Xenopus tropicalis: one gene and its partner. The protein of the gene in region 2 purifies or fractionates together with the protein of the main gene of each other region. This does not show direct contact. Links are inferred from orthologs where the notes say so. Each region holds a gene or a part of one and is shown on either strand. Other genes may lie near its edges.

Evidence for each region.
Region 1: the proteins of tgoln2 (region 2) and galnt2 purify together in Homo sapiens (affinity purification with mass spectrometry; 3 studies listed by BioGRID and IntAct, counting the BioPlex papers as one, with this or other methods). This does not show direct contact. The link is inferred for Xenopus tropicalis from reciprocal best matches to the Homo sapiens genes TGOLN2 and GALNT2.

What each region holds. Positions count from the first base shown.
Region 1 is NC_030681.2:52,911,841-52,915,662, reverse strand, and holds part of galnt2 (polypeptide N-acetylgalactosaminyltransferase 2), read left to right. Parts: intron 1-856; coding exon 857-955; intron 956-1,489; coding exon 1,490-1,557; intron 1,558-2,668; coding exon 2,669-2,734; intron 2,735-3,822. UniProt on the Homo sapiens protein: Catalyzes the initial reaction in O-linked oligosaccharide biosynthesis, the transfer of an N-acetyl-D-galactosamine residue to a serine or threonine residue on the protein receptor.
Region 2 is NC_030679.2:126,816,664-126,821,163, reverse strand, and holds the start of tgoln2 (trans-Golgi network integral membrane protein 2), read right to left. Parts: upstream 3,082-4,500; 5' UTR 3,043-3,081; coding exon 2,973-3,042; intron 1-2,972. UniProt on the Homo sapiens protein: May be involved in regulating membrane traffic to and from trans-Golgi network.

The DNA of each region.
Region 1 (3,822 bases), on a different chromosome or scaffold from region 2:
AATCTCACTTCACCTCTGTGACACACCCCGTAGTGGGTCCCTCAGGGAATTCTCTACCCTGATTCCCTATTCACTTGGATCCCTACACTACAGGCAATGTGGCCTGGGAGAGATATCTCCAAAACTGCAAGTCCTATGCAGGAGCTCAGGAGCAGTAGCTCATTCTAGCTCAACCCTAACTGCCTTACACTCTTGGGGGGAGATTTACCAAGACCCGAACGCTCTGAGCGTTCATGCGAAAGCTCCGAGCGTATTCTCGCAGTTTTTGTCTCGCAATTTTTTTGAGCACCCGCGCAAAAAAATCGAAAAGGCTCTGCCGCTGTTTACAGTGGTTCGGTAGGAAAATTTCAATCACCAATACGATATTATCGTGACTAATACAATTTTTTCGTAAGCATTTTCGTGATATTTGCAATCTTCAGAAATTTCCGAATTTTTCCCATTTGGGATTCGAACTTGTGTTTTGATAAATCTGTCCCCTAGAGTGTACTATAAAAGGAGCTACACCTGCCACTATCTAATGCCTCACTCACGGGGCCCTGTTCCCTGACTTCACTGAGCATGAGCCTATGCCCTGGGCTCACAGCACACATCCACCCTGTTCCTCAGGTGGAAGCGAACAGGAAAAGTGCCACTCCTCTCCCAGCACTATACCAAAGTGAGGCAGGATGTGGTCACCATACCTTCTAACCAATAGCACGCATATTTTAATGAACTTACTTAGATACATTCCCTTCTGCCCAGCAGCTAAGGGAACTGAACCTGTAGGGATTTAAAGCCATAGGGGCCATTTAACCCTATGGGTCCCTACAGGTCATTATTCATATTGATGCATGGAATTCTTTTTCTTTTGAAGATGTCGGAAAAAAACGTGGAGAGTTGATTTACCAGCAACCAGTGTTGTTATCACATTTCATAATGAAGCCAGGTCTGCCTTACTCCGCACAGTAATCAGGTAGGATGTTTATAGTTAATTTATGTCCAATGGTGTCCATAATAATTTTCCAGATGGTGTTATATTTTTTTACTTGGGCAATGATTCATTGCAGGATAGAGCATATCTAATATTTTTTATTCAAATTAAAAATGTACTGCAGTCTTTTTTTTTTTTTTGAGTTGGGTATTTTTAATATCCATTTCAAGGTATAGTTAAACTGGTTAACAGAGATCATAGAAAATGTTCATAACACAAACCAGTAATCCCAAATGTAAGCTGGGTCAACATTTCCATTCCTGAAGTTCGGAGCATTACTTGGGCACATAAATTGGTATGATATTTTTTAATGATATTTAAAAAAAAAAAAAAAAAAAAACTTAAGAAAATAATGTGAAATGATAACAATACCACTGCATTCTAATGGCACACATGGCATTTTCTTACCTTGCAAAAAAAATTCATAGGCCCTCACCCCTTTGTGACCGACACATGGACAGTACAGTTTGTGTAAGAAAGAGGGACCCACTAACTAATATCTTTATTTTTTTTCAGTGTATTAAAAAAAAGCCCAGTGCACCTTGTCAAGGAAATTATTCTGGTTGATGACTACAGTGATAGTGGTGAGTTTAATTGCTTATTCACTCTCTTATAATATCTCGCCTGGACTACTGTAACTCCCTATTAATTGGCCTTCCCCCCCAAAGACTGTCCCCTCTCCAGTCCATAATGAATACTGATGTCAGGCTCATACACCTCTCCAACCGCTCCTCCTCTGCCGTGCCACTCTGCCAATCCCTGCACTGGCTTCCCTTACCATTCAGGATAAAATTCAAACTAATGACTCTCACATTCAAAGCAGTTCATAACTCTGCCCCACCCTACATCTCTGAACTTATCTCTAGGTACCATCCAACCCGCTTGTTACGCTCCTCTACTGACCTGCTCCTCAACTCTCATCTCAACTCTCAATCTCTCATTCCCTCCTCACACACTCGCATTCAAGACTTTGCAAGGGCTGCCCCTCTTCTCTGGAATTCGCTCCCGCAATCTGTCAGACTTTCTCCTAATCTCTCTGCCTTCAAGAGATTTCTAAAAACGCATTTATTTAGAGAAGCTTACCCTAATCTAGTTTAACATAACCTCAGTGTGCTGCTAAAAGCAATACCCTGTGCCACACCTCTCACAACTCTGGTCATGCCCATTCCCACACCATGTGTCACAACCCTTTCTCCTTGTAGATTGTAAGCTCTATTGGGCAGGGCTCTCTTCACCTCTTGTGTCGGTTATTGATTGCTTTATATGTTACTCTGTATATCCAAAGTATGAAACCCACTTACTGTACAGTGCTGCAGAATATGTTGGTGCTTTATAAATAAATGTTAATAATAAAATAATAATAATAATAATTTATATAGAGTTATGATAATTCTGTTTGAATTTCACTGAAGAGCAAAATGTCTTTAAATATGAAAGGCTGTCCTCAAAATATGTTTTTAATGCACTTAAAAACTGTTTTCAGGATTCAGTGAAAAAGAATAGTGCTGGTAAAAACTGGGTTTACGTCTCACTTGTGTGGATGGAGCCAAAACATTGGTTAAATAAGCCAATTTTTTTACTTTAATAACTGTAGAAATGTTTCTACTTATCTTTTTATTTTTTGCATGGACACCCAGTTATAACTGATTCATGTAATTTACATAAATACTTAAAAATTGTCTCCGTGTTTTACAGCTGAAGATGGGGCTCTGCTTGAAAGGATTGAAAAAGTACGTGTACTTAGAAATGATCGACGAGAAGGTCAGTATAATAGTAACTTTGTTTAGAAGTAACTAAAGAAAAAAATGTTTAAAATTTGTTGCATTTACAAGCTGAGATCTCTTTACTACTTACCTGTTGGTCAGGCACTGCCATTATAGTACTGGCTGGATCAATAGGTTGGAATCCCTTCTCTTAGGTGGAAGACATTGTCATAGCTTATGCAAACCGCTTATCACCCATGTAAACTCAGTTGCACAGCTAAAGTGCTTGTATATTTTATTTTTAGGTGTCAACCACGGGGTGGGGGGCTCTCTTTGTGGGGCACCAGATCACAAATCCAGCACTCTGCAAAGAGTAGCACCAGCACTGCTCTCTGCACAGGTGGTAAGGAGAGGGGACCTGGAGCAAGCTGCCCCTCCTTCTGCTCCCTAAGTTGTGCATGCAAATGATGTGCAAGTTAGGGGCGGGGGAAGGCATGTAGGCCTCTATTGAATGGAGCACTGCCTAATGTAGGAATTGTTCCATGCAAGGCATGTCCTGCAAAACCCTGTGCTCTGAAACATAGCTTAGAAGTATTTTTAATAAACACTGCATCCCGGCAGCAACTGGTTCACCCAAAAGACCAAAGCATAAGAAAAGTAACATTGTGTGTGCCGTGCAGCAAGGAGTGTTCTGACTTGTATGTGGGAGAAACCAAACAACAGTTGAGCCAGCTCCTCTAGTCAGGACTCAGCAGTGTACCTACATCTATAGGAAAAAGGACATACGTCCTTCAAACATGTGCCCTTTTTCCTCTAACTGTAGGTACACAACTGAAGGATTCTGGACAGGGAGGAGGACTGGTTCACAAGAGGTGATAAAGAAGTCATATATGTGTGAAAATTGGGGATTGCTCCCCCCATGATGTCATCACACATGTTCATTCATGCAGAGGCGGTAGGTGGGTTGGCTTGTCAGGTTGCCTAGGGCACTGGTTCAGCTTGGCCACCCCTTCCGTGTCTGTAGGTGCAGAAACAAAACAGAGCAAAGGTTTGTTTCTGGGCCTGTGTAGCATATAACAGTCACAATTTAGCCTGACACAATTTAAAAAGGCTACTTTTTATCTTTCTATTCAGCCCTCTCCTATT
Region 2 (4,500 bases):
CCCGGATTGAGATACCAAACAGGCCCTGAAAATTCAGGAACACAGAGGCCAAAGAGCCAAACACAGGCCCAATAAGGGTGAAGACACACTAGTAGCAGCTACTACAGAAATAGCTACAGAAATAGACAATGCTGATCGTTTACTTATAACTGTCTCTGTGTTTTAGCAGAGGCAATTCTCAGTATTGTCTATGGCAGGGTATTTCTGGAGTTTAGTAGCCGTGACAAGTAGCTGCTATTAAGTTGCTCTGTGTGTCTTCACCCTAAACAGTGACTGTCTTTGTGGATTCTGGCAAAGAAGCTGCTGTAAGATGCCAGATTGCCACTCTGAGGCTGAATTGGGCCAAGTAACTAACAAGTAGATGCTAGCTTCTAGTGGGGAAATGGCATCTGTGATTGCGACATTAGCCCGAGAGTCATACCAATTTCCTTATTTTTACATAGCGGTTATAGAAAAAAAAAATAATCAATAAGAAACCTTCCAGACAATGATGTGCTAATCCTTATGCCTAACAAAGGCTGCAGCTGGGGTAAATCTGTTTATATAGAGAGGGTGTGATTCTCAGTGGACTGGTTGTTTGTTTTCACTGTATCCTTAGAACCAGGAAGTAGAATTTGGCTTTACTTTCAGTTTCAGCCCTTTTAGAGCTTGAGATAAAAAAAACATCTAATTAAAAGGAAAATAGAATGTTCAATACCAACAGATTCACTGCAATAAAGTGGAAAGGGGGTATAGTGCCCTATTTGCTGCCTGTTTTCCTGAGTAGCGTGGTGGGCCCCAGGGGGTTAAAACACCATTCTCTAGGTGCCATGTTTTAACCATGACATTGCTATTAAGGTTCAGATGTGCCTCTGCTAAGGCGATTAAAGGGGACCTGTCACACTAAGAAATAATTCCAAATCATTTTCTATCATGTTAGTTGAGCAAAATAAACTTTACTTACACTATATAATTTTTTTTCCCTTCAGTCTTGGAATTTACAGTCACGGCAAGCAGAAAGCCGCCATTTTATGAACACTGTTATTAAAGGAACAGTAACACCAAAAAATGAAAGAGCTTTAGAGTAATAAAAATATAATGCACTGTTGCCCTGCACTGGTAAAACTGGTATGTTTGCTACAGTAACACTACTATAATTTATATAATAAGCTGCTGTGTAGCCATGGGGGCAGCCATTCAAGCTGTAGAAAAGGCACAGGCACATAGCAGATAACAGATAAAACACTATTGTATTCTACAGAACTTATCCGTTATCTGCTATGTGCCTGTGCCTTTTCTCCTTTGAATGGCTGACCCCATGGCTACACAGCAGCTTTTTATATAAACTATAGTAGTGTTACTGTAGCAAACACACCAGTTTTACTGATAATTGCTGAGTTGACCATTTCTAACAAGACATACTGGAATTGCTTATTAAAGGAACAGTAACACCAAAAAATAAAAGAGCTTTAAAGTAATAAAAATATAATGCACTGTTTCCCTGCGCTGGTAAAATTAGTGTGTTTGCTACAGTAACACTACTATAATTTATATAATAAGCTGCTGTGTAGCCACGGGGGCAGCCATTCAAGCTGGAAAAAAGGAGAAAAGGCACAGGTTACATAGCAGATAACAGATCAGTTCTGTAGAATACAATAGTGTTTTATCTGTTATCTGCTATGTGCCTGTGCCTTTTCTCCTTTGAATGGCTGCCCCCATGGCTACATAGCAGCTTATTTATATAAATTATAGTAGACTTTCTGAAGCAAACACACAACTTTTACCAGTGCAGGGCAGCAGCACATTATATTTTAGTTACTTTTATACACTTTCATTTTTTGGTGTTACTGTTCCTTTAAAGGAACAGTAACACCAAAAAATGTATATATTTCAAAGAAATTAAACTATAATGTACTGCTGCCTTGCACTGGTAAAAGTTTTGTGTTTGCTTCAGAAACACTACTAAAGTTTATATAAACCCTGGTGTGTAGCCATGGGGGCAGCCATTCAAAAGAAGAAAAGGCACAGGTTATATAGCAGATAACAGATAAACCCTGTAGAATACAATGGTGTCTTATCTGTTATCTGCTATGTAACCTGTGCCTTTTCTCCTTTTTTCCAGCTTGAATGGCTGCCCCCATGGCTACACAGCAGCGTATTTATATAAACTATAGTAGTGTTCCTGAAACAAACACCCCAGTTGTACCAGTGCAGGGCCACAGTACATTATATTTCAATTACTTTAAAACACTTTTTTGGTGTTACTGTTCCTTTAAGGCAAGCTTTGTTTCACCCCAAAATCTGCCATCTAGGTGATATCTAGGAAGTGCTGAATGGAAAGTTAAAGTAATTGTAATTAAAAATCTGAGCTGTTAATCATATATTGCCTGCCCCGCCTCTATGCCGGAGGCATAGAGGCGGGGCAGGCAATATATGATTGACAGCTCAGATTTTTAAGTCTATTTATAACAGGTATGGATGATTTAATTAAAAAATTTGGGTTACATGCTTAATTTCTGAAGGACTTTTATTACATATCTTTTTATATGTGCTTCACCTCTTGTATCAGTTATTGATTGCTTGATTATTAATAATAATAATGTGGGTGACAGGCACCTTTACTGTGCCATTAAGGCATAACCTCTCATTGCTGTGAGCCAAGGTTGTGTAAAACCAGTTTATAGTTCTATGAGATACCATTAATTGGTAAAGGAAGTGCCAGTTAGAATACAGGTGCCATTAGCAAACACATAAGAGAAAAGAGAATGAGCACAAGGGAAACCCCACACAACCTATTTCATTCCCACAATAACAAGAAGCCCGAATGCTGTGAGAGTGTATCTAGGCCGGGAGCCAATGACGATAGTGACAGAGACTGGTGGGCGGAAGGCGGAAGGTACACGCATCAGTCCCATAAAGCTTTGCCTTGAGGCATCTAAACCCACCCAAAACCAGCAGGTAAAACCCCACAGCTGAAGCCTAAAGCATCTCACCTTCGCCATTATCCGCAGCGCTCAGCGAAACAAGGAGCAGAAGCAACAACCAAGACGCCTTAGTCGCCATCGTTACAGGAAATAAGTGAGATAAAAAAAAAATAGGTATTTCCGCTTTCCTGTATCCGCGCCGCCATCTTTCTACACCTTGAATGAAGTCAGTGCTACGGATGTATCGCCGGCGTTTGAATGTTCGACGGTGAGTGTACTAATATGGCCGGCCTTGGCATGATTTGGAACTGCTCATGTTATTGCTGCTGCTGCTGCTGCTGCTGCTGCTATTACACCTAGTCATGCATAACTATGGCAATTATGTAAAAAACCTATTCTTGGCTAATATATATAACTTTCACTAAATGAGATATATACCTTATAGATGTATTTGAAGATTTAATTTCTCTGTGACGGAGTGGACACTTATTTACAAGGCCTGGGCACAGGTATAGGGATCAGTTTGGGTGATGTTGGATTAGTGACCCGCTTGACAACTTTTGAGTTTGGTAACCTTAGTCCCTCCATTTCCCAGTGTAGCCCACTTTAGTTGGCAGTGCTGCTACTTGCTATTACTTTGGCGCTACAGGAAGGGCCAGAACTAGGGGTAGGCAGAAGAGGCAGCTGCCTAGGGCGCAACGATTGAGGGGCGCCAGGCAGGAGCCTCTCCTGCCTACCCCTAGTGCTACTTTGTCATTGCCTCTGCCGCTTGTCATTAGCGGCGGAGGCAATGACCGATCTAATCGTCCCCCCCCCTGCACTGCCTCCTGTGCTTTGGCATGCGCATGCGCGGGGAGGTGGGCTGAGTTGGCCGACCGGGTTGCCTAGGGTGCCGGTCGGCTTGGCCGCCCCTGGCTATAGGAGTCCTGAGCCCCGCTTACTATGGGGGACAGGTGCTGTACAGTTCAATGGTGGGCCTCCACCCAGGGGTGATACTGTGAGACCATAACTCACAACCCTGGGAACTTGATATTGTACGTTAATCCTTGACTGGGACTCCACACAACTCCCTGCACCTTGCCCCTCCCTTGGGGTATTTGCTTACCGGCCAGTAGGTGATCCCTTGATAGGAAAGAGACAGACACAAGTGGGTATAGTGAACGAGATGAATCTCTTTATTCAGGGCAGACCTCTCCAGGAGTGGAACACATTCATCAGGGCACTGTCTCCTTAACTTCAGTCTTAGAGAACCTCTCTCCTGTTGGGTTACCCACGGTACTCCCACCAAGTGATCCTACCTAGGACCACCTTTAGGTGTCTAACTCAAAAAATCCAACCTCTAGTGCCTAACGGGAACCCATCTAAGGGGCTCAAGTCTGGGGATCCCTACACCAGTATTCAATTAATATTTGAAGACTACTAAGATTGGAGATAAATATTACTGGTGATGTTGCCAGTAGCAACCAATCAGATCTTGCTCTTGATTTCTGACTTTTAGGTGACAGTTCAAATCTAAATGCTGATTTATTGCTATGGGCAACATCACTAGTGATATTTATCTCCAATCTTAGTACACATGACCCTAAGGGGTATAAGT